Drosophila melanogaster: one gene and its partners. The protein of the gene in region 3 interacts with the protein of the main gene of each other region in a biochemical or structural test. Each region holds a gene or a part of one and is shown on either strand. Other genes may lie near its edges. The genes, in order: dpr19, dpr18, DIP-epsilon and dpr13.

Region 1 (6,249 bases), 4.0 Mb from region 3:
CGGGGGTCAATGGATGCTCCTATGCGACCCACCAAATAGCTGTGGTAGGCCGTCAGAGGCGGATAATCCAGGCCCCAGTACTGAAGATCGTTGTTGGAGCTGTTTGTGTACCATTCCCCCACTGCCAGATTGACCGTGATCTCTTGCCAGTGGCGCTGGGCCTCGTAGTCGCCATGCATCGGCGGGGAATCGAAGCCGGAGTAGGAGTACAGCGAGATAATCGACCTAACCGCCAGGCCCAAAAAGGCGCTTGCCAAAATTTCGGATCTCATCTTTTTGTTTTGCCAACATTTTTCAGCGATGGTAGTTCAGCTATGTAGAATTATCGATAACTTGTGTCAAATACAACGACAAGCTAAGATTGCACCTCACGGAACTGCGGTATATGAAACAGAAATCGGAAGGGGGTCTTACATTTGAAAATGAGTTCAAAAATATTCATAACATTTTCGTATTCATTTTTTAAATGTGTACCACCCAACTGAAGAGCAAATAACTTAACCAGAAGCGGGTTTCTTAAAATTGATCTGTTTATTTAAAACGTTCTTATGTCGGCAACAAAATTTAAAAGTCGTTTTGCACTCCGTATTCGAGGGTAAACAAAACGAAACTGGCACTTCTGCCCATTTTGGATTGAAGACAGCGCTTTTGAAAACGCTCACGGAAGTAATATTTATTTACAGTTGTACATACAGTATATGAATTAGCATACTTCTAAAGGTGCTTACATAAATCAATCTATATACTAAATATCGAACACTGAGCAGAATAACAGTTTAAAGGTGACGATCAAATTTTCCGAGTTATTAGGTAACAAATCTGTATGGCTTTATCATTATCATTTTACGCTAATTCCATTGTTTGTAACATTAAAATGTCAGTACCAGTACCAGTCAATAAATATGAACATCTAAGCATACATTATATCTTACGTACCACTATGAACCATCAAAATATGCGGTTTTCAATCCCCCATGACTTATTGGCATAGGTATGCATTTTATAAGTTTTGTGGTAACAAGTTCGTGAATTCTCATCTTATTTCTCAATTCAATACATTGCATGTAATGGAAGTCTATTTACAGTTTATTCTTAGATTACTTTAAATGTCTTACCATGCCCACGCCGGCATCTCAATATGGTATGTCAATGATCTATTTACAATCTTCTATTTTAAAACAAATATTCTCAAATATAATATCCTCGAATGATTGAAGTTGCTCCATTCCAAATACCATCGATTATAAGTTTCAGCTATGCATAGTGACTATTATAAATGCTACGAATACCTTGTGAGTTGCCGCCAACGAGAATCGATCGAATACCACCGCGCCCATCAGCAGGAACAGCCCAGAGAAGTAGAGGATTCCCCCGGCCAGAGTTACGCCGCTAGTTCCATTCAGTCCACCCAATGTGATCAATCCGAAGGTGCCGTTGCCGTTGGTCTCCGTATCCAAAATGCTCCGATTGGCGTGCTGCATGGCCGCCGTTTTCTCACCTATTATAATTACAATGAGTATGACATATATTTAAATATCGACCGGCGGCGGTCTTACCCCTTAGAACATGCACTGTAATGCTGGCAGGACGGGCATTTGATGGAGCACATGTATAGTTGCCGGCATGACGGAAATTGACTTGCTTCACAGTAAGCACACTGACCGAGGGATTCAGGAGATAGGCGGATTGATGCTGTTGCGTCATATAGGGCGTGGAGGAGGGCACATTGGCGGCCGGTGCCTTGATAGCATCCGAGCTGCCCAGCAGGCTGTTGAGCACCCCATTGCTGGACTCCATGGGCATGGTGGCGCGCGATTTGTTCGCCGGCGAGCTACGGTAAAACTGGCCACTCTGCGGATTGCTTTGCCCAATCGATGTCACAACGAAGCCGCCTTGTGAGTCGTAATTGATCATTTTACTATCATGGTACCTAAATTGAAGAAATTGCATTCGGTTAAGTTGGGTCTTATGTTTAGAATAATATAAAATTTTACAAATCTAACTCATATTATTTTTCATACCAAAAAACAAATGCAGGATTCTCGGTAGCTCGCTTCAGTTTGCATTCGAGTCGCAGAGTAGAAGTCTCATCAATATGCAATTCCGGTGCACTAGAAATCTCAGCTACCGCTTCTATACAACGAAAAGATTCAATACCCGTTAAGCTTTGAACTTTGTAAGGCAGCTGCGTCCACTTACCGACAATCTTTAATTCTATAACTATTGACTGAGTTGGATAAATAGACAATTGACACTCGTAAAAACCGCGATCTTCCTCCCGAACTGCCTTAATTCTCAGGGACCAGTGGCCCATGTGCCGCGTGTGCTCCACCAAGAATCGCTTGTCACTACTGTGGGTGGATAGGCCCACTGTCAGGAGCTGGAAGTCCTTTCTACGTATCCAGGAAACCTGAAATGTTGCAAAAGGTCTAAGTATTAGAATCGATGTATAAATTTTAAGAAAAACATATATCTCACCGTGGCTGGGGAGTTAACTTTGACCACACAGGGCAGAATGGCAAGTCCTCCCTTTTGTGCAATAACTCGAGTGTTGTTCTTCGTATTAAATTGACTTTGTAAGGTGTTACCAAAATGATTTTGAGACGAAGTGATCTTCCCGACATCTGAAATGGTTGTTCAATGAATATTAAACAAAATCTCTTAATATAAATGTGTCAAAAATCACATGAAATGAATGAATCCAAAGTGATTTGCGGTGAAATGTTAAAAAAAAAAAACTTAAAAATGTAAAATGTAAAAATGAAACTTAAAAATGTATCTTTTATCTATGCCTTCATAGCTTTCGTTTTCATAGCTTTCGTTTTATTTTTAATTACTTTTGCATAGAAATAAAATTTTTCGTTCACTAATTTCTCTTGGTATTTAATATTTTTTTTTATTTACCTTCAAAAGCAATCAAAATAAAGTAAAAACGCAATCGAAGGTTTTCGCTTCCAATTTATAGCATACAACTTAGCGCAAAAGTGATAAAAATCGTTTAACGATTCATAAAGTTGGCGACCTTTGCTTACCAGAAAAAGTTGAACTAAGGAGTAGCAAAAAACATGATAAATGCAAGTGCCATCTTTTCGGTTCCATTATTTCCGAATTCGAGGCTCCGCGGATCGTATACTTTTCTAATTCAACTTTATACCCGCAGCAACATTGTCCTCCTGCAACGAACTTCAGTTTATGAGTACATTTGTATTTATGTATGTATGTATGTCCAATGTGTATTTCTAAAAATATTTGTGGCAACAACGATGCACCGTGGAGTATGTATGTATGTTTTATAGCTCGCAGATACAAGATATTTATATGTATGGGTCACGCAAACAACTTGAAACTTGTATCATGTTTTTTCTTTTTTGGGATAATCTTGACTTAAGTGGAGGAATTCAATTTCTTTCTTCACTAATATTTTATGCACAGAAAAAAAACACATGTCACGGATACAAACATACATATATGCATACAGATATATGTATATATTTTGGAGGAAATGCATACACAGAAATTGATGGAGGAAAACTCACTTTTTTCCCGTTTTTCTGCTCTTTTTGCACTGACTGCTCGGCAAATCCTTACGCGTACATACACATTTCGCCTCTAATTGTTTATGCAATCATAAAGCATTCGTATGACTATTTCATAGCTACATATTTTCGAGAATACAGATACAGATACACAGGTGAAAGATGTATAAATTGTATGTATTGACCGTCAGAAGTGCAGATTTCTCACTGCATTTTCGTTATATTTTCACACACGCGGCCTCTGTGTGTGCGGGTGTGTGTATGTGCGTGCGGGTGTGTGTGTGTGTGTGTGTGTTTAGAGAAAATGGCACAATTCTGGATTCGAATTTACTTGGTTGGAGCCAAGAGTCCGCAGTTCACACCCCGGCGAATACAACTTCGTTTTCGAAGTGCCAATCGTCGACTAAATTGAAGTCGGCAAAAAGCCCCATCCGTATAACTCACGCAATCGCATTATGTGGGGTCTCTTCTCTCCGGATTGCATTGCATATGCGTGTTTAAGCCAACTCGACTCGCCAATCGAAGGGATGATGACAGGAATTATTTAATATTATTCATATTTACTGCTGGGCGGCATAATGAATGGCATAGAGAATCGCATGAGTCGCACAAAAGTGGCGTAACAACGGCGTGTATTCTTGTTCTAAGGGTAATAGATAACGAACTTTGGTGGGGTGCTTTCCAAAATTAGTTTTATTCTGCTGCCAATCGATTGAAATGGCGCCCAGTCAGCTGACTGCTATCAGCCAAAAGTTAGGTTAGGTCAGTACTTGATAAGTGCTTCGCTAACAAGATAATATAATAATATAATGTAATATAACAATGAGAATCGTTAAAACACAACAAAAATTATGTATGCTATAAAACATGCATGCAGAACTTAAAATATATCAATAATATTTTATAAATGATTATTATATATTTTGTGCTTAAATTGATGCAAAATAAGCTTTATTTAGAAGTGCTATTATTTTGGTTACTGCCCTTTATATATTTTTTCTGTTATAAGAATAAAAATTAAAATATTTATGGAATACCCCTGATAATTCTGCGCAGTGGCTGGTAAAAGTACGAATGCGTGACACGGTCACGCTGAGCCGCTTTGCCGGCTGAATGGTCTTAAATATGCCCTAACGCTTCGAGATTTTCCAATGTACGTGTCCAAATTTGAGGCGAGCATGGCTACGAATTTTGTTATTTATCTGGCGCTTGGGGCACTCCTCTGCCTGGCCACTGCCAACGGGGAAATAGTGAACACAAATGTGGAGCGAACGCTGGACCTAACATCGCAGCTGGTAAAGACGACCACCAAGATCTCGGCGGAAGATTCGGCCGGCAAGCCGATTGTGGAATACGTGTTTTTCACATCGGAGCCCAGTTTGGCGTACATTGACGTAAAAGATGCTAGCGACAAGAGTGTGCCATTCAAGCGGAATGAGCCCGTGAAGGGGGAGCAGAGCTTCACGTTCACCTTCCCCAGGGCCGCCGCCAAGCAGACGTTCATCGTCGAGACCGTGGCCTCTAAGGGCATCCGCCCACATCCGGAGGAGATACGGCAGAACGACAAGCAGTTCGTGAAATATACGGGCAATCTGCACCTCTATTCCAAGTACAGGACCAACAGCCAGAAGACCAATGTCAAGCTCAGCTCCTCGAACATCTTGTCGCACACCCAGGTCAAACCCTTTTCGGTGTCCTCCAACAAGATCACCCTGGGACCCTACGAAAACGTAGAGGGTAAGTAATAGCTGCCTAGCAGAAACCGTCTGTTCTAACGCTTTCGATTCGTGCAGCCTTCAGCCAGGAGCCACTAGTCATCCACTATGAGAACTCCGCACCATTCGTCACCGTCAATACGCTGGAACGCACGCTGGAGATATCGCATTGGGGCAACATTGCCGTCCAGGAGTCTATTCAGATGACGCACACCGGGGCCAAGCTGAAGGGCTCGTTCTCGCGCTACGATTTCCAGAAGGAAGGACGCTCCGGACTGGCGGCCCTCAAGTCGTACAAGACCTACCTGCCAGCATCCGCATCTGGTGTCTATTACCGCGACACCAATGGCAACATTTCCACCTCCAACATGAACGCCGTGCGCGACTTCATCGAGCTGGAGCTGCGTCCGCGCTTCCCGCTCTTCGGCGGCTGGAAAACGCAATACACTCTGGGCTACAATGTGCCCTCGTACGAGTACATGTTCAACGATGGCAACAAGTACCAGCTGAAGATGCACCTCATCGATCACATCTACGACAATATGGCCATCGATGAGGCCACCATCAAGATTATTCTGCCTGAGGGATCCAGTGACATTAGGCTGTCCACGCCCTACTCCATCAGCCGATTGCCCAATGAGCTGGTGCACACCTATCTGGATACCATTGGTCGCCCGGTGGTCTCGTTCTCCAAATCCAATTTGGTCGAAAGCCACATTTCGGACTTTACGCTCCACTACAGCTTCTCGAAGACTTCTATGCTGCAGGAACCCCTGCTGGTCAGCGGCTTTATTTATATCATCTTCTTGTTCACCATCGTCTTCTTGCGTTTGGACTTTTCGATCACATCCCATGCGCATAAGGAATAAGTAAATCTTTAGATTTCCTCTAAATTTAGTCACTCATCAGATTGTAAAAGATCAAAATGAAACAAAACTACTATTTTGCAAATAACAAACGAAAATAAATAAAAGCTTGCACTTGATGGCGTGAAATTT
Region 2 (7,705 bases), on a different chromosome or scaffold from region 3:
GCGTAGGACTTATATGCTTCTGAATTAGGGAGTTCTTTCCATCGTAAGCAAAGAAACAATTGGTTGCGTTGCTAGTAGCTCTCTTTTGAGGTTGTTTACCCATCTGCATTAGAAGTTCGTCGATCCGTTCCGTTTTCAATTTAATAATACTCTCCATGTGGGTCAATCGCTGTTGATAGGCATCGATAATAACATCTTTTGCATGACTATCACGTTCCACTTTCTCGTACAGCGAATATAGGATCATTTTCTGCGGCACCTGAACTATGCCATCGCCGATCTGTTTGTTAACCACAACAGTTTTTATCTCATCATTTTCCTCCCAAAGTTGTTCCTGCCGCAATGCCGCATTTCGTTGTTCTGCAAGGCGTTGTCGTTTCTCCAATCGTATCACTTCATGCAACATGACTTCGGCGGCACCACTAACACCATTCGCCATTTGCTCCATAAAATCTTTAGTCAACGTCATATTTAACTTGGATAACACTTTAAAGTTGAATGTCTCCCAATTGGCCAACTTCAGCTGAACACTACTCTTCTTCGGATAATTGAAGAGATCCACCAAGCGCGGATAATCGCGTTTGAATATTTCGGCCAGCGGCAAAACATCGGAAAACTCGCGACGCAATCTTTGAGTGCTAATACTATTTTGTTGCATCCATTTGTTAACTTCCTCTAACTCTTCGCGGCTCAGATTCTTGCCACTCACGATATGCATCCTTGGTGATAATGATATGATATGCAATAGCAAAATCAATTTGTAAATATGGTCTCGGCTTTATTGTTGTGTGGGTATACACATATTAAAATATCCGATGTGTCTGAGTTTGAGTCTGAATCGGCTAAAAGATTCAACTACAGTGAGTGCAAATCCAAAGCATCCTTTGGGTAGGAATCTTAAATATGGGATAGTACGGTAAAAGCTATTATATTGGGGCATTATTAATACCCCTTTTATTCTTATTTTGAGTCTTGGAAAATTCCCATTCAAAGTCTTCTATGCTTTCGTATTTATAAGTTTCTGTATGATTTGTTTGCCGACAACACCGTAGATTCAATCCCTACTTTTTGGCCTACACTGCACTGGAGTATAATACTTTTCAGTATACACGTATTATTGTATCTTATAATTTAGATCATCAGTTATCTGTTATACTACTTACCGATGTTATACTAATACAATTAATGTATAACAGCAAATCGCGTTCAAGAACACAAGTTTGCTATTTGTAAGCACTGTAAAATGTAATGTAGAAAAGTTTATGTAAAGTATATTACGATTTAAATGCGATTTACTTGTATAGCTTATAGTTAAAAAATTCTACCATGTTAATTATATTCATATCAAATAAAAAGAAATTAAGATAAAAAAAACCTTTGTTGATTGGTATTTAAAATAATTAACTACTGAAAAATCGATTCATTCACTTAGGAACCAACTTTCGCTACCAGCTCATGAATTTCCCAACTTCAATAAAATCCCTGGTGAAAGCTTTGGGACAGACCTTTCTTTCCCCAACTAGGGGAGATGTCCCGAGCAGTGTTGAGTATCCGTATGGACTCAACAGAAATCCCCTTTGAGTGACTCACTCACTGGATTCGAGTGTGCAGACAAGCTTTCGCTCATTTGTGTTCGGCTTTTCATTTGAACGCTTGGAATGGAGTCCAAAGTTTTTGCCAACGACAGTTCATTACGGTTTTCAAGGATAAGCGATACCTACGTGCTCGCCGGATAGAGCGCATGTGAATATAACGCACCAAAGTACATCTGCGTATTTCCTACCGTCTTTATAACATAGTTTGAGTAAATTATCTTTTTTTCAGTGTGTACACAAATGTGTTAATAATAAAATCAAGTATAAACTTCTGTATGCCTGGATAAAGTAATATTTTTTTGTGCATTTTTTTTGTTGTTGTTGTTGCTAACTCAATGTGCCAGTGTATTTTTTTTGTACAAATGTGACTTGTGCCAACAGAGCAAGGGATTTACTAATCGCCGCAATTCCAATCAGGTATCTTGAATGGTAGACAACACAACACATCGCTGCACATGGTAAGTGAAATAGGGATAGAAAAAACGGCTGTCAAACTGCATGAATATTTAAGGGACCAATTAACTGCTGAGCTTAATCAAAAATTCCAGTAAAAAGTTAATCAAATAATATAAATAATTTAATTTAATATAAATTTGTGAAGTTCCAACTAGTATTCGAAAAATGAGACTATTACGTTTCGTTAGCTTTTTATAAATGAATGAATCCGCCATGGGCAAAAAAAAAAATATTAATCTTGCTGCCACAGATATATCATTTTCGATGGGTGTATAGACAGGAAGCTTAGATTATGGTAGAGGAGACGAACTCAAAACGAAATAAGAAAAAATGCCGCTGGCAAGTGTCCCAAAAAGCAAATTCCACGCTACTCACTGGTCTGCTACCAAATATATTGAATCGTTTTTTTATAATTGACAAAATATAATATCCACCGCAAAACAAATTCATTTTTCAACACCTTTAAGTTCGTTTTTGTTTCACAATAATATTTTGTTTTACGTTATTTTAAATTCCAAATTCCACAAGCCAAACACATATGCGCTTTTCATGGCCAGCAATTTTAAAAAGCTTAAAAATTTTAAAAATTATTCATACTTCATACTAAAACCGGGTCGTGTCGCACGGCGCATTTTTTCGTTATTGTATTTGTTTTGTTTTGCATGCCTTGAGCCAAGAATTAATAGTCAGTCCTCCTCCATTATTTGAATAGTTCAGTCCCATGGGCCTAGAGATGCGCTGATCAAACCATTGTTCGAGAGCCTTTAACGTCCCCCTCATAACCTTCTAAGCAAAATCTATAGCCTGCCCCATTAAACTGGGTCACACAGATTCACAATATCTTCAATTTTTACTGCGCTTTAATAAAAATGAACATAGAGTATCAGGCTTTAAGATGTTTTGGTTAGTTTATTGGGCTTATACATAAGTGCTTTTTTGTTATCCATCGGCCACTTGGCAAAACCAACACAAGAAAAGAAATAAAAAAATAGTAGTGACATAAAAATGTGAGAGCAGATTTTTGTACATATAAATGTATCAAGTGTTGTGTCCCGAAGCTCAAGCATTAGGTCACTTTTTCCCAAACTTTTAAATGACTAACATAAAACACTGCAGACAAACCAAAGTTCAAAGTAATTTGTTTGCATTTATTATAATAGTTGTAAGAGTAAGAACAAAGAAATCATTTTCCCTGCAATTAATTCACTTATTCTTGATATGCATCAGCATCCTTGTGGGTAGAAACTCTTGAGCAAATGATTTTCCTTGAATACTTTACTACGTTCTCTTGCAGTAATTTAAATGGTAAAGAAAAGAGGGAAATATACGCTGAGCCATCGACAAGATTCAGTGCCAGAAAGCAGCTGAGTTTTCTCGGAACTAAGATGAAGGTTACTGATTTCTCTCGAGCACATTCCGTAAGTCACGTCGCCCCGTGCAAAGGATGAGGCTTCCGAAAGGATATAGGACACTATCACCAGCATCGAACGCTGCCCAGACGCTACCACTCTCCTACAATTCACAAACCAGTCTGAGCCTTCTTCGGCTGCTCACAATTGCTCTGGTGATTGGATCGCAAGTTCAAGTTCTATGTAAGTGTAGCCCTTAAGTTTCCCTTAACTTTGTTTGCAAAACAGCATTTAAATAACCCCGAAGCCTTTGTTATGACTCCTTTTCCCATGTTTTGTGCTCTTTACTTATCAAGGTAGCATCAGTTAGGGGAAGTTCAATTATTCTTAATGGACCGGGTTTTCTTAGAAACTTACAACGGATATTTAAACATCAAACTTTCTAATTCGGACAATTTGGTAGAAAACTGGGTATATAATACACTTTTCATTCATTTGCGGCTAGTAAAATCTGAAATATTTTGTCATGGGAAGCAAATATTGAAAATATGTGTGTTAAGTTAAATGGAAAAAAGAAAATAAGAAACTATACCATAAAGTCTTGGGCATCCAACGAATAAAACTTTGTAAAAAGTTGTGGCTTAAAAATAATACTACAGATTTACGTCTATAACTACAGAGTACGAATTTAATATTATTCAGTATATAGTTAGGACCTTTATTTCTACCAACCCTACTATATTTTTACCTATTTAACAACGTAACCAAGGTTGTAATTAGTCCTAAGCCCATGAATATAGCATATTTGAATAAAGCCAATGGGGTAATTTAAAAATGGTTAGATATTTCTGAGGAGCTGAGCTCTTGTTTAAATATATTTTTTCTTGCATTCTTCACCTTTTCAATTCAGACACGACATCCGTCGAAACAAAATCCCCCTCCGCAAGTGAACAATCCAGAAACGGCGAGAATCGTTCATTACTTTTTGATGACTATAATAAAACTAAATCGACATTATCAACTGCTGATTACCTGTCAGCCACAAGGGCAACCCTTTACGCGTTTTCATCGCAGGATCAGGACGAGGACCATTCCCAAATGCCAATCGAGGCGTCTAACGCTCCGCACAGCCCCATTCCCACGAAAATGAGTCGGGGTAAAATACCCATGGAGACACCGGGCAGCATGGAGTTTAGCAGCAATAGCCTTCCAATCAAAAATGTAGGGACAACTGATCAGCTGACGACTGTGACCATGCCCACCACAGCATTCGCATCCCTAAAAGTCGACAGAAGTACCATGAAACAGCCAATTGATTCCACACGCACGAGGAATCATTGGACAGCAAGTGGTAAGTGGGATAGCTTTGGTATTATGCAGAACAGCATATAGCAATTGTACAAAAGTACGTGTATGAAAGTTTTTAGCAAAGTTTTCATCGTAAATATTGCATTTTTGGCAACAGCCATTTGATCGAAACAAAATTAATAAATGTCTAAACATGGATTGCCATAACACGTCAGACTCGTTATGAAATTTCAAATCGACTGGCATTCAAGTTTAAAAATTAAATTTTTTGACTTTTTTTTGGTAATTTTGATAAATTTTCCGAAATTTTTTTCTAAATCCGGCAAACAGTATTATGTTTTGGCATGGCTAAAAACCTGCATAACACAGTTGTTTCATTAGCTGTATAATAAATTTAAGCCGAATACGGATTAAAATAAATCACGGAAATATCGAATTCTTGCATAAAGTATTTTCCAGATTTTCGCTACACTTTTTCTGATCAAAACATTGAAAATAATAATAATAATATGGAATGTCATAACTTCTAATTTAATTTTAAATTTTTAAAAATGCGTAATTTTTTGGATTTTTTACCTTAAAAAACGAGGAAATTAAAAGATAAATATTTTTAAATTGGTGATTATAAATAATGATTGTTACCGTTGGAAAAAGGTGGTTTAAAATATAAAATGAGGCATCTTCAAAGAAAACGAACGGATGTACATAAATACATACATATGTATATATGACATTCTTCAAAATGAATGCGGCAACCCCTACGTGTACTACGTGCATACATACATATGTATGTATGTAGTATATATGTATATTCTTAATTTCGATTTAATTTTTCGGAAACTTTTTTAAATCTTGGCAGGATTCGCACGTGTCACAGAACGACCACGTAGCAAGCACCACCACGAGCACCACTGGGGACCCTTTTTTGAGGAGCCCATCAACTCGGCAACCTCGGGTGACAACCTCGTTTCCGCCGTACATTTGTTTACGGAAGCGGTGCTCAATTGCCGTGTCGGTATGCTCAAGGATAAAACTGTAAGTGAACGCCATTTTGATATGTACGCAGATTCATATGTACATACCTTCGTACGTACATACCCATACATACATATACATGCATACATGCACGTAAATAAATATCTATTGTTCTGCACAGTTAATTGATTTCACAAATGATGAAACAACCGAAATAATTGGAAATAAATTAGCTCTCACTACCTATGTGTTCACGGATTTTATTTACTTTATTTACTGTTTTACTTTATAAGACAAAACAAAAAGCAAGTTTTTAAGCCATTAAACCCCTTTTTTGAATAAATATAATTTAGTTACTATTCAATTTGATTGCCTTTCTTAATATGTTTACATCAAACATACAATGTATGTATGTATGCATATGGCAACAAAAAACACCCACCGCCACCACCATTGCATTGAAACTCATTTGTGTATGAGTACTTTTTTACGGATGTGTGTGTGTGCAATATCGGTAAACCAATAAACGCACAAAAATTTGCCCATTTAACCATAAATATTATATTTATTACATACTCATTACACAGGCCTGCAAGTACTCACTTATTATCATTTTACCTAATTGTTGGCACTTTTAGGAGCAACGAAATGTACAAAAACTGATTTAATTTAATTGTTTCGCGGCAGCCATTTTCTTTACCGATGCTCGCAAAATATGACAATGAAATGAGAGAGAATAAGAAGAAGCCGATGAGAGAGCCTATTTTCTTTTCAGCTATTCTCATAATTCGATCCTCCCGTTTGTTTTTGTTAAACCGATAGTCGTGAGAGAGCGCTTTGAGAGAGATAAATGTGTAACGTGTTTTACCGTTTCGACTATTTTCTTTTACTTATCATATGTACGAACATACATATGTACATATATGCCCAATCTTGCGGTTACTTTAAATAAGATTTTGAATTTCCAACTTCCAGGTCATGTGGGTCAGGCGAACGGCAGAGAAGGTATCGCTCCTGACCGTTGGCAACGTGACCTACAGTGGAGACCCGAGAATTCGGGTGAAGTTCCAGTACCCGAACAATTGGCGATTACTTATCAATCCCACGCAGACTGAAGATGCCGGAGTTTACATGTGCCAGGTTTCCACCCATCCCCCCCGGGTATTCACCACAAATCTCACTGTCTTGGGTATGGATACCACCAATTCTAACCTTATAACGAATCCTACATGGCAAGTTTTCCGCTTTCAGAACCCCCCCTGAGGATAATCGATGAGCACGAGAGGGACGTGGGGGATCGTTATTATAAGTCTGGAAGCACCGTCGATCTACAATGCCAAATATCGCGTAGCTTTTTCCAAAAAGAACGTCAGACCATTCTAAAATCAACCGATTCTGCAAACGATGCTGTACAGAAACTAATCAATGAGACGACTAGTGAGCTTAATCTAATTGGCAACGTAAATCAGACGCAACACAAGTTCTCTGGCCAGGATCTGGAGAAATACTTCACCAAGTTTATAACCTGGGCAAAGGACGAAGAACCACTGCAAGGAATGACCAATAGGCGCTTAAGGTAGATTACAAACGATGCAAGTCGGAATTCCTATATACTGTGTCCTGTGTATTGCAGCGTTTCCGATGTTTGGCTAACCAGTCGTATCTCCATTGGAGATGCCAAACTATCCGATAGTGGCAACTATTCCTGTTCCCTTGGCAGACTGTTCACCGTAATTGTCCAAGTTCAAGTGCTCACAGGTAATTAATTAGTGATTGAAGTTTCGTGAAAATCATTTCCCTGATATGTTATATATATCTTTACAGGCGAACTACCCGCAGCTGTTCAGCACAATATTGGTTCAAGAACCGAAATCTATTCCCTTGCGATGTTGGGTCATCTCCTTGTACTCATTTTCCTCTTCACTTGCCTGAAAACCGAAAATCGACATTTCTGAGGCTTTAATCTGAGAAGGGACTGCGGAAAACCCCATAGCCATTCGATTTTCACAAACAATTAACCAA
Region 3 (4,984 bases):
GAGGAGGCAATCAGGCAACCAAGGCCCACATACAGAAACGAAGAAATCGCTTCGAGGTGGTATGCCATTTTGCTGTAAGTTTGATGCCCCTTTTTTTTACCGTTGTTTAGCTTTTCAATTAAGAAAACTTAATTATTTATTGCGTACAAATATTGTGCAGCATTACAGTATATTCCGGCTCATGTTGTGTTTGCTTTTGGAATCGATCAACGTTTAATTGCGATTGGCTTTTATGCACGCTACCCCTGAAATATGAGGAGAAATTATAGGTTGCCATTATTGATGAAAATATTAATAAAAAAAAGAAATTATACATGGCTTCATGCTTTTAGGCTTAAGTGTACATTTAATTTGTCATTGCTCAATTTTCCATTTACCGCAAGGAATGAGACCTGTTTTCGTGTTACACGGCTATCCCATACCCTTTACACGGCTTATTGATTACAACCGTACTTAATCATATCTTATAAACTTTAATCTAAGCTTTCAAATTTATAATAGTTGAAGAGATTTTGTATATCATACATACGGACAGACGAGCGGACACACCATTTTTTATGCTTAAGATTTTTATGAGCCATTTTAACCAGACCCACACCTGGCTTGCATCTTTTTCACGGATTAAGGAGTTTTCAATAAAGAGGATCAGCATTAGGAAGATATCAGAGCAGTGACGAACCCTAAGTCTCCGAACGACCTCAAATCCGTTCAAATGCCAGGGACAACGTTATCGTCACCATCAGAATTATCAGCTTCCTTTTCGTGGTTGTTTTGCTGCATGCATGCATAGAAGAATTTTTTCCTTGTTTTTAATTCCTGCTCGTGTCATAAGCGAAAAGCAATTTGCTCTGTCAGCTGTTGTTTTACACTCCGGCTACGGCAGTCAAGTAAACCCATGGAGGTCCTTCCAGTCTCGTCAATTTCTTCATTCTATTGCAATATGAATGCATTTCAATTAGAATGCCTCCTTGGGGACAGCTGTTGTGGATTTTCCATTAAGTAAGGGTTATTGAAACCGAATTGCAAACTTAATTGATTTCTAAGCCGGCCGACTTAACATTCATTTTGGTTGTGATATCTAAACAAAGATTTTGAACGTTATGCTGAGGAAGATTTTAGTGAACCATTGACATCTTATAAGATTCAATTTTGTTTCTTATAAAATGTGTTTTTTAGATTTAAGCGTTAATGACCCAAAGTTCACCTGATTGATAAGCAACCAACTGATGGTCAAAAATATATGTATTATTGTATGAATGACATAAATACGTGATAGTTTGGTACACCAAAATGTATTGTCTGGTGTATTTTCACGCGACGACGATTGTTGCATCCATAGAACTAACCGCGAAATGTAAATGGACCGTGAATTCGTAATGCATTTAAATCATTGTAAACAGCAATGTTTGTGCCCCGCAGACAGAAAGGATATTTCCCACATCTTCGAAGTGATGTAGCCGCATGATGAAAAGGAGCCAGCGGTGAATGCTCCGCCGGTCTGACTTCTGCTCTGTCTTTCCGTCTCCTAGGGAGCATTTACTCGCTTTTGCATAATAAATCAATTTACATTTCCTTTCACACGCAAAAATGAATAACGAATAATAGCAACAAGCCCGTGGCGCAGAAATCTTCTATCGTATTCTTCGGGTAAAAGTACGTATAGCATGAGAAAGGAGTGCTTCCTTTCTGCACTATAATCACACCGAACCGAATCAATCAATCAAAATGAAATTAATTATTTAATTATAATTATTATTTCTTTTCTTTTCCACAGCACAGGGAATTCAACCAAGTGCTTGTGTCACCCAAAGGATTCGATCTTTAGAGCTAACTTTTTAATGACGATTGTGTTTATTTATTACTGAAGTGAACATAAAACTTCAATTTCACACTAACCGCAAACAGCGCATCGTAAATTCGTATTACCTCTTAAAACGATTTCATTCCACGGTATATTAATCTTTTCGATCGGACAATCATTGCAGATTTCTGCACGTTTGTTTACATATATAGTAGCCGGCTTTTGCACTTCGGTGCACATTGCCACCACGTAGACGGCCGTCAGGAAGATATATAAATATCTGAGTCAGACTGTGCCGCGGGAACTGGAAACGCACAATTTAAGTTGGAAATAAAGACAGAGGATGGTTTAATTTAAACAAGTAGATATTGGTCTTTACGAGGATGCCATTGGCCATGTAAATAATAATAATAATTTGCTACGCATTTAGTACTTAGTTTCATAAATGAAACAAAAAGAAAATTAAATTTGAAGTTAGATTTGCATACAATTCGCATTATTTTGAAAGCCGGCTAATGAAACATTCAAAGTGCAATCAATTGCCTGCACAGCTTCTCCCAGCAGATGTAAACCAATTCGGAAGGATCCTTTGTAAAAGATGCAGCTCCCTAAACAGGCCATCCTGCGAACTCACTATTCAATGATGCCCCATCTGCAACTTCGTTCTCCTCCATCCGATGTCGCCCTGCTTCCAGAAACTAATAACTCACCGTGGCAATGTCTGGCTGCTGGATGGGGCGTCAGATGTCGGCAGGAATCAGCAAATCAATTTATAAATAGAGCAGCGAGACAACATAACAACGGATTTTCATGTTTCCCTCTGCCGTTCTCCGTTTTTGCAACATAACTAAATTAGGGGACCACGCGGCAGACACACAGACGCCGTCACAAAGCCAGCAGCTCCTCCGGTGGGCAGCGGAGGTGCATAAATGGCATGGGATATCGAATAAAAGCACTCACAGCAGTTGATTTACAACAACCATTCGCCGCCACTAATGCCAATCGAAAATACTATTTTAAACTATTTGGCCAGTGCAAATAAGAAAGACCACGTCCACGCACGTCTAACGAAACCGATTCTGGTTCTGATACCGTTACCGATTCGGGTTCGGGATTCAAAAGCGATTGCGACTGCGACTGCGAATACTGATGCGGATGCGGTACCGCAGACTAACGACAACCGAACGAAACGACAGCCGATTTCACACTGGCAGCAGCATCCCGTCGTGCGATTCACTTCGGCTGCGGCATGTTAAAAAGATAAACAAATGTTGCGGTTGGCCGTGATTTATGTTAGCTTACATATGTTTATAGCCCTGGCTGCAGAGCCAAACAGCACTTTCTGCTACTAACAGCCCCGAAAACAGCGAACAATCAATCCAACGATCCGCCGAGTGTTTTAATGCACCACTCCACTATCCGTTCCGTCAGCTAATGCGGCGGGTTAAATTTTATGTTCATCATGTGAGAGAAAAAATGTGAGAAAAGCCAAAGGTCGCAGAATTTCCAGTATTAGTATGTGCATATGTGAGCTAAATAAAGAAACGTATTATTTCTTTCTGAACATAATAGAGCAGGGCGTATCACTTGTGTAAGCATTTTTGAGTTATCCCTCAAAACTCCCTCATCTGTCTTACAGTGAAAACATGTTTTTCATCTTCGCTAATCATTGAACATTTGTTACTTGGTCTTTGAGCGGGCATAATGGAATAATAGCTTAGCACTTTAACACATTTACAGCTAGGGACTGCAAACGCATTTCCAAGTTCTGTGACCATAAATGTCAGAGTTCAAAAGGCAAGACTTCTTTAGCTTGCTGTTAACATCGCTATCTTAAGAAGAGGATGCTGCAATACAAACTTCATTAAAGAGAAATTTATAAAAGAACTTGGTTTCTTTGCTCTACATTTCCCTTTATAACCCCTAACAAAGCTCACACAATTTGGTCCTACAAGCCTTAACATTTCCCATTTTACACCCCAAGCAAAGCTTCATCATGTCGGTCCTGCAATACCCTAACATTTCCCGTTATTACCCCTGATAAAGCTACTGCTAGTCGAAAGCGCTCCGTGCCGTGAATTTATTAACTTTGAGCGTCCGTCTAAGCTTTAAGTAGTGACGAAAGCTCCTGTCACAAGACGCTTTGCTCTCCTGTTGACTTTAGCCACTTGACAGCGCAAAACGCGAAAGCCACAACACTCAGTCGAAACAGCTGACTCTCAAAAGGTGGCCACCACCCACCACCCAACTGCTGCAGGGCCAAACAGAAACTCCGTCACTAGGCTTACGGAGCATTTAGCCAAGAAAGCGTGGGGGCGTCACCGTCACTCACTGACGTCGACGCACTCGGCGCATGAAAAACAGTTACGCTCTGTGCCGCGGAGTGTGTGGAGTTGCGTTGAAAGGGGCTCCGGAGTCCAAAAGGGTAATCGGAAAGCCCACGGGAAGGGGCCATCACCGCGGAGCCTTGACCCGAGCGTAATGAAATGTGGCGCCTGGCTGGCGAAAAAGTGACGTGAAATGCCAAGTGCAGCCGCATCGAAGCCAGCAAGGATCTTGTAGCAGCGACAGGAGCAGCCCCTTCTCCATGGGTTCATGCCTTGGCAGCTGTGCCACAGCTGCCGCCGCACCAGCCCACTCCGCCTGCACCTCAACGTCCGACTCCACCACCCACTCGACTTCCTCGACGTCGTCTTCACTGACAACTCCCCCCACGTCCTGGGTGGCCAACAGCTGGCTCTGGTGAGTGGGGCCAATTAGTTGAAGCTCAACTCCGCTGACTTTCGTTCGCGCGCAAATCCGCTGACCAATCAATAGTGGCTAAGCACGGGGTGGAATTGGCTAGTTGGGGGTCAACAGCCTAAAACTATGCAACGGCCGCTGGTTGCCACAAAACAATGTGCCACAGGCGGGCTTCCCGCCCAAGTGGGTGCTTACTGCAACCAAATACGTAAACAGTAAATACTAGTTATATGTGATATTCTTTAAGAGTTAACAAAAGCTTTTACTTTATAATAATTATTAAAAACATCTTTAATAAAAAGTGGTATCTTTCATCTTCTAGGCGAAAGAACAGATCTGCAGGAAGACAAGATCCAGAGGCAGATCTCTTATCGAGGACCACCAGGCAGCGCTGCCAACGGAACGGATTCATCTACCGCATCCTGCGGCTCAAGAAAAGGC
Region 4 (4,687 bases), on a different chromosome or scaffold from region 3:
CGGATACTGGGATACTGGGATACTAGGAAACTGGGCGGCCAGGGAGATTGAGTGTGGGTCAGTGTGCCAGATATCGAGTGGAACGGGGAAGGGCAGGGGAATTAACATACACGACTAGATGTTTGCGGGTCAGGTTTTCATTGCCTGATATATGGTTATGATTTTCCAACGGCAATTTGGCCAGAAGCTGCGACTATTTGTCTTCTTGGGTATTAAATTTGGATGGGCAGCAGAACATCGAACTCATTAAGTGAAATATTAGAGAGGCGTTCGATTTTAATTATTCAAAAGATCGCAAAGAGCTATGTGAAAGGAATTTAATGCATGAAAATTATTTAAAATAAAAATGAACGAGATCTGTATTCTTATTAAACAGTGGTCCATTGCATTTGACTTGACTAATATATCTGAAGCATGAAACTCAGGAATTTAATCTGCAAGACACTTTCCCGCGTTTTAGCTCAGCATTTCCCCGGTTTTCCTTGTTAGCCAAAGAATTCAAGCGGAATGTGACATTGCAGCTGGGCAGATGGCGCCTTCGACGCGAAAATGCTTTCACAGCCTGACAAGGTCTAAAGCGTGTTAGCCATTTATTAGTTCGGATTTCTGGCTAGCCCCAAAGTATGCAACCGACTTCTGCGAGCCCAAACGTGGCCAAAAAAAAAAAACCATGAGCTGGCTGAAATGGAAAGTTAAGTTCGCCCAGCTGAGGGCCCACAACTTGGTACCAACTAATTTCAGCACAATAACCCAAATTGAAGCGGTTTGCTGATGCTTTGTTTGCACCCGATTAGAGCCGAGACGCGTGACGAAGGTGCTTTCGTCACTCGGCGAAATGGCTGCACAAAATGAGAGAGCGATGAAAGCAGGAAGGAGAGAGAGAGTCCAACTATGCGCACAAACAACAAGGAGAAAGATAGAGAGAGGACCGGAAGTAGTGAGTTTGCGATAAATGTTTGCTATAAAAATCGTACCAGCTGTTCACTGAAGATTGACAATCCTAGAAGCTGTTTGAAAACAAATTAAAATTTCAATATATGCACTAAAAAAATTTAGTTTTTTTTGGCATAAAAAAATTTAGTGTCGGTATATGTAAAACTGTTAAGTTGAGCCTTGTTTAGGCAAATTAAGGATACCTAAAAGTTGAATGTGTTGTTAGCCCTAAATCATCTAATCATACACAATTAAATGAAATGGTAATCAAAAATATGGCAAGGATTTAAACCAAATTTAATGATATATGAAACATAATAACCTTTTAGCTTTTACCTCTTTTCTTTAAGTTGATATAATAAGGTTAGCTGCATTAGTTGCAATGTAATATATGTGTTAATAGAACAAGTGCTTAATAACAAAAAAAAAAAACTATAGTATTGATTGCCTTAAACGGAATAGTTGATATAAATTGAAAGGACTGGGTTTCGGTTTCAAAGGACCAATTAAGCAAACATTTCACGCGAACGCAAGATGCTATAAAACTTGAGAGTTTCCCCAAAAGGAAAATGAGAGAGGCAAGTCGAGAGAGAAAGAGAGAGCCAAGCGCACGAAGTTCGTGCAGACTTTTCCGCTGCTGCTGCTGCTGCTGCTGCCACTGCCACTGGTGATGGTGTTGCTACTGGTGTTGCCTGCTTTTCCTTGGGTCCTCGTGTCAGTCGCGTGCGAAAGCGTAAAGTAAACAGACAGGCGGCTAAAGCGGCAGAAGGAAAAGCAGCGAAGCGCTGGAAAAGCAGGAAAAAGCAGCAGCCGTGCAACCGAGGGCCAAACAACAACACCAGCGGCTGGCAGGCGAATTCCCACGCTGCTGCTCAGTCAGTTGAACTTTGACCACGGCGGTAACGGGTTCGGTGCGGTGCAGTGTAGTTTCGGTGCGGTCAACGCGGCGTATGCGCAACGTACATGCAACGTGAGCGCTTTTTTTGCGAAACTATAAATGATGAATTCCAAATGTGCTGGCATATGGCTGCCACGTGCCCCCAGCTAAAATGTGACTAAAGGATTACAAAAAAAAAAAAACGAGCAAGTCAAACAAAAAGCGAAAATGAAACAATGCAAAAAAACGCTTAATTAAAATATGGAAAGTTAATTGCAAATGGCGCTTAGCAATGTGGTCACATCAAATGGGCATAAATCAACGCAGAAAGTGCATTTAATTAGGCTTAATATAAAGAAAACATCAAATAACCGAAAAGTGTGGGCCTAAAAAAATAAACAACAATTAGAGCAGGGGAAAAAACGTTTTAATTAATGCAATGTCATCCAATTGAAATGCAAGTGCAGTGACAAATGAAATCAAATTAAAGCTCTGATAAATTGAATCACAAATGCAAAACAATTGACAGCTACAACAACAAGCGGAAAATAAGTGCAACATCCTCAGCGACACACAGCAACACAAAGCAACAAAATGCCGGCATCAAGTGGATTATATCGCATCAAAAATGGCCGTGTCCTTGACAGGCTGCAAAAACCAGCGGCACTCATTTTTATAATAGCATATATTGCGGCATGCGGCATTTGCGGTAAATATCACACACAGACATTATGACTTTTCACTAAAACTAAAAATCAAATAAAATCCCACATAAAAGCGAGGCGTAGAAATTACAGAAAAATAATGACGCATTTAATACTTTTTCATTTATTTATGCCGTTGATTTTTCAATTTGCATTCCGCTTATTCTGTACTGTTCACCGAACACGATTTAATTCAATTAGCGTCGCTGTAATGCATGAAATATTGTCAAAAGACAAATTGGCGAAATATGAAATTAAATGTGGCAAATATCACGGACGAGCCGCAACAAAGGCCACGAGATTGCCCAAGTCGAGAAATCGTTAATTTGTAACATTTCATTGCCGATGTCGAGTGCAGTGACAGGTCAGGCGATGAGCGCGGAAATCACCTGTGCATCACCTGTCAATGGCTGACACCGCAACAACGGCAATCAGGGGATTCCCCTGCGCCAAACGGCAACAGCAACACTTGTCTCTACAACTGAGCTCACTGAAAGCTGCCCCCTGTCGCCATTTCTCTCCATCTCTTTCGCGCCCTGCATCGCTATCTCTCTCTCTCTCTCTCTCTCTGTGTCTGACTGACTGGCTGACTGGCAATTTGTCAAGCAATCAACAAAGCCAGAAATTGCCCGGCAATAAGACAGAGCGAAAGCGGCAGAACGCCAGTTTGTCCAATCGGGAAAATGTGAATGCGAATAAACCTATTGAACACGCCAAAAGTGGTATAGAATATGCACTGCGATAAAAATATGACACCAGGAACTATCATAATCATCTCTAGTTGCATTAGGTATATTATGTTTCTAAACTATGATTTTTATGCAGGTGTAATCCTTTTGACAATCTCTTTATTCCCTTTTCAAGCTTTACGCATTTTAAACAAAATATCTTTATGAATATTTAAAAATATACATATAATAAATAACATATAGTCAATCGTTATATATAATAATTTAAATTATATTTTTAATATGCAAAAGCTGACTATGTATTCTCAAGAACTATTAGTTCTTAACTTACTTAAATAGTTACAATATACAAAAAATGTGCCTCTTATAATGTTTATAAATTGCTAGTTTATTTGTAAATAATGTTTATTTCTCGAATGCTTGAACGCAACATAAAATTTGGTCTTCAATTTAAGCGATTTTTCTCGCAGTGATTGGTACTCGACTCCAAGGAATACCGATATGTGGAACTAGTACACTGCTTGTGCCACATTTTGTGCGTGCCCCGCGTCGATGGGGGGAGAGGGTGTCCGTAAAGTCGTTGCTAAATAACAACAACAATGGCATAAAAAAGTGCCACGTCTTCACACACATTTGCACGCGCACACACACAGTGGGGCCCTGGGGCAACGCACACACACCGCAGCAACTGCGAGTGCTACTGGCGACTATCTAGCGCATCCATTGTTGCATGCCACACACCAACACAGGCCTTTTGGGCCACACACTCCTGTCGCTGTCGTTGTCGTTGTCACTGTCAATGCTGTAATGAAAAATGCACAAACACAAAAACGAAATACGAAAAAAACAAACAGAATCCAAAACTGCAACTGAAAATAGAAATAAACAGAGGCCGAAATAAATATATTCAGAATGCACGCCAGCTTAGGGCGATGAGTAAAAAAAAATAAAATAGACAAGCAATTTCAGCTGCGCCTGCCGCTTTTTATTTGGACCGCATTAATATTTAGCCAGCCACATGAACGTGCCTAGATATACATTAAGGCTCATATAAATCAATATTTATGCCAGCGGTGCATGTCTGTGGATCGAGCCATGGGATTTTTGAAGGCCAGCGGGGTCGCAGCAAATGCATTACTAGTCGCTGCACCCAAATCCGCAGCTCAATGCATCCAAATATTTGCATAATGTAACCAAAAAATATAAAAAAAAAATATATTTCTCCACTGCACTGCAGGCTATATGCTAAGCAGGGCGACCATGTCACTTTGGGGGCCAAAAATGTGCAGCTACCCATTCCCCATTTGAATGTTTTGGTTGTGAACATCGATATAAACATGGAAAAGATCGAGCGTTGCTAAAAAGCAAAACGACCAAAATATATGTAAATACTCTGTACAAATATTCACTTATTCAATTATTCACAATGCTTAACAAGCGGTTTGTATGACATCCCGTGTTGGTCATCTAAATAAGGTGTATTG

What was found.
Region 1: the proteins of DIP-epsilon (region 3) and dpr19 form a complex in vitro, tested with the Drosophila melanogaster proteins (one study listed by BioGRID).
Region 2: the proteins of DIP-epsilon (region 3) and dpr18 form a complex in vitro, tested with the Drosophila melanogaster proteins (one study listed by BioGRID).
Region 4: the proteins of DIP-epsilon (region 3) and dpr13 form a complex in vitro, tested with the Drosophila melanogaster proteins (one study listed by BioGRID).

The regions. Positions count from the first base shown.
Region 1 is NT_033779.5:10,374,172-10,380,420, reverse strand, and holds dpr19 (defective proboscis extension response 19), read right to left. Parts: upstream 4,254-6,249; 5' UTR 3,868-4,253; exon of another isoform or gene 3,537-3,867; intron 3,174-3,536; 5' UTR 3,100-3,173; coding exon 3,033-3,099; intron 2,625-3,032; coding exon 2,479-2,624; intron 2,411-2,478; coding exon 2,200-2,410; intron 2,134-2,199; coding exon 2,022-2,133; intron 1,931-2,021; coding exon 1,557-1,930; intron 1,499-1,556; coding exon 1,251-1,498; 3' UTR 516-1,250; downstream 1-515. Other genes in the region: gny (garnysstan), read right to left, coding at 1-272; CG33303 (uncharacterized protein), read left to right, coding at 4,688-5,273, 5,330-6,120.
Region 2 is NC_004354.4:16,062,057-16,069,761, forward strand, and holds the start of dpr18 (defective proboscis extension response 18), read left to right. Parts: upstream 1-1,681; 5' UTR 1,682-1,762; intron 1,763-1,824; 5' UTR 1,825-2,053; intron 2,054-3,345; 5' UTR 3,346-3,495; coding exon 3,496-3,643; intron 3,644-4,310; coding exon 4,311-4,751; intron 4,752-5,567; coding exon 5,568-5,743; intron 5,744-6,658; coding exon 6,659-6,872; intron 6,873-6,934; coding exon 6,935-7,259; intron 7,260-7,316; coding exon 7,317-7,441; intron 7,442-7,507; coding exon 7,508-7,638; 3' UTR 7,639-7,705. Other genes in the region: CG12395 (uncharacterized protein), read right to left, coding at 1-718.
Region 3 is NT_033779.5:6,408,316-6,413,299, forward strand, and holds the start of DIP-epsilon (Dpr-interacting protein epsilon), read right to left. Parts: upstream 3,012-4,984; 5' UTR 2,512-3,011; intron 246-2,511; 5' UTR 69-245; coding exon 1-68. Other genes in the region: CG13982 (uncharacterized protein), read left to right, coding at 4,389-4,543, 4,866-4,984.
Region 4 is NT_033778.4:18,004,866-18,009,552, reverse strand, and holds the start of dpr13 (defective proboscis extension response 13), read left to right. Parts: upstream 1-1,650; 5' UTR 1,651-2,404; coding exon 2,405-2,519; intron 2,520-3,557; exon of another isoform or gene 3,558-4,158; intron 4,159-4,687.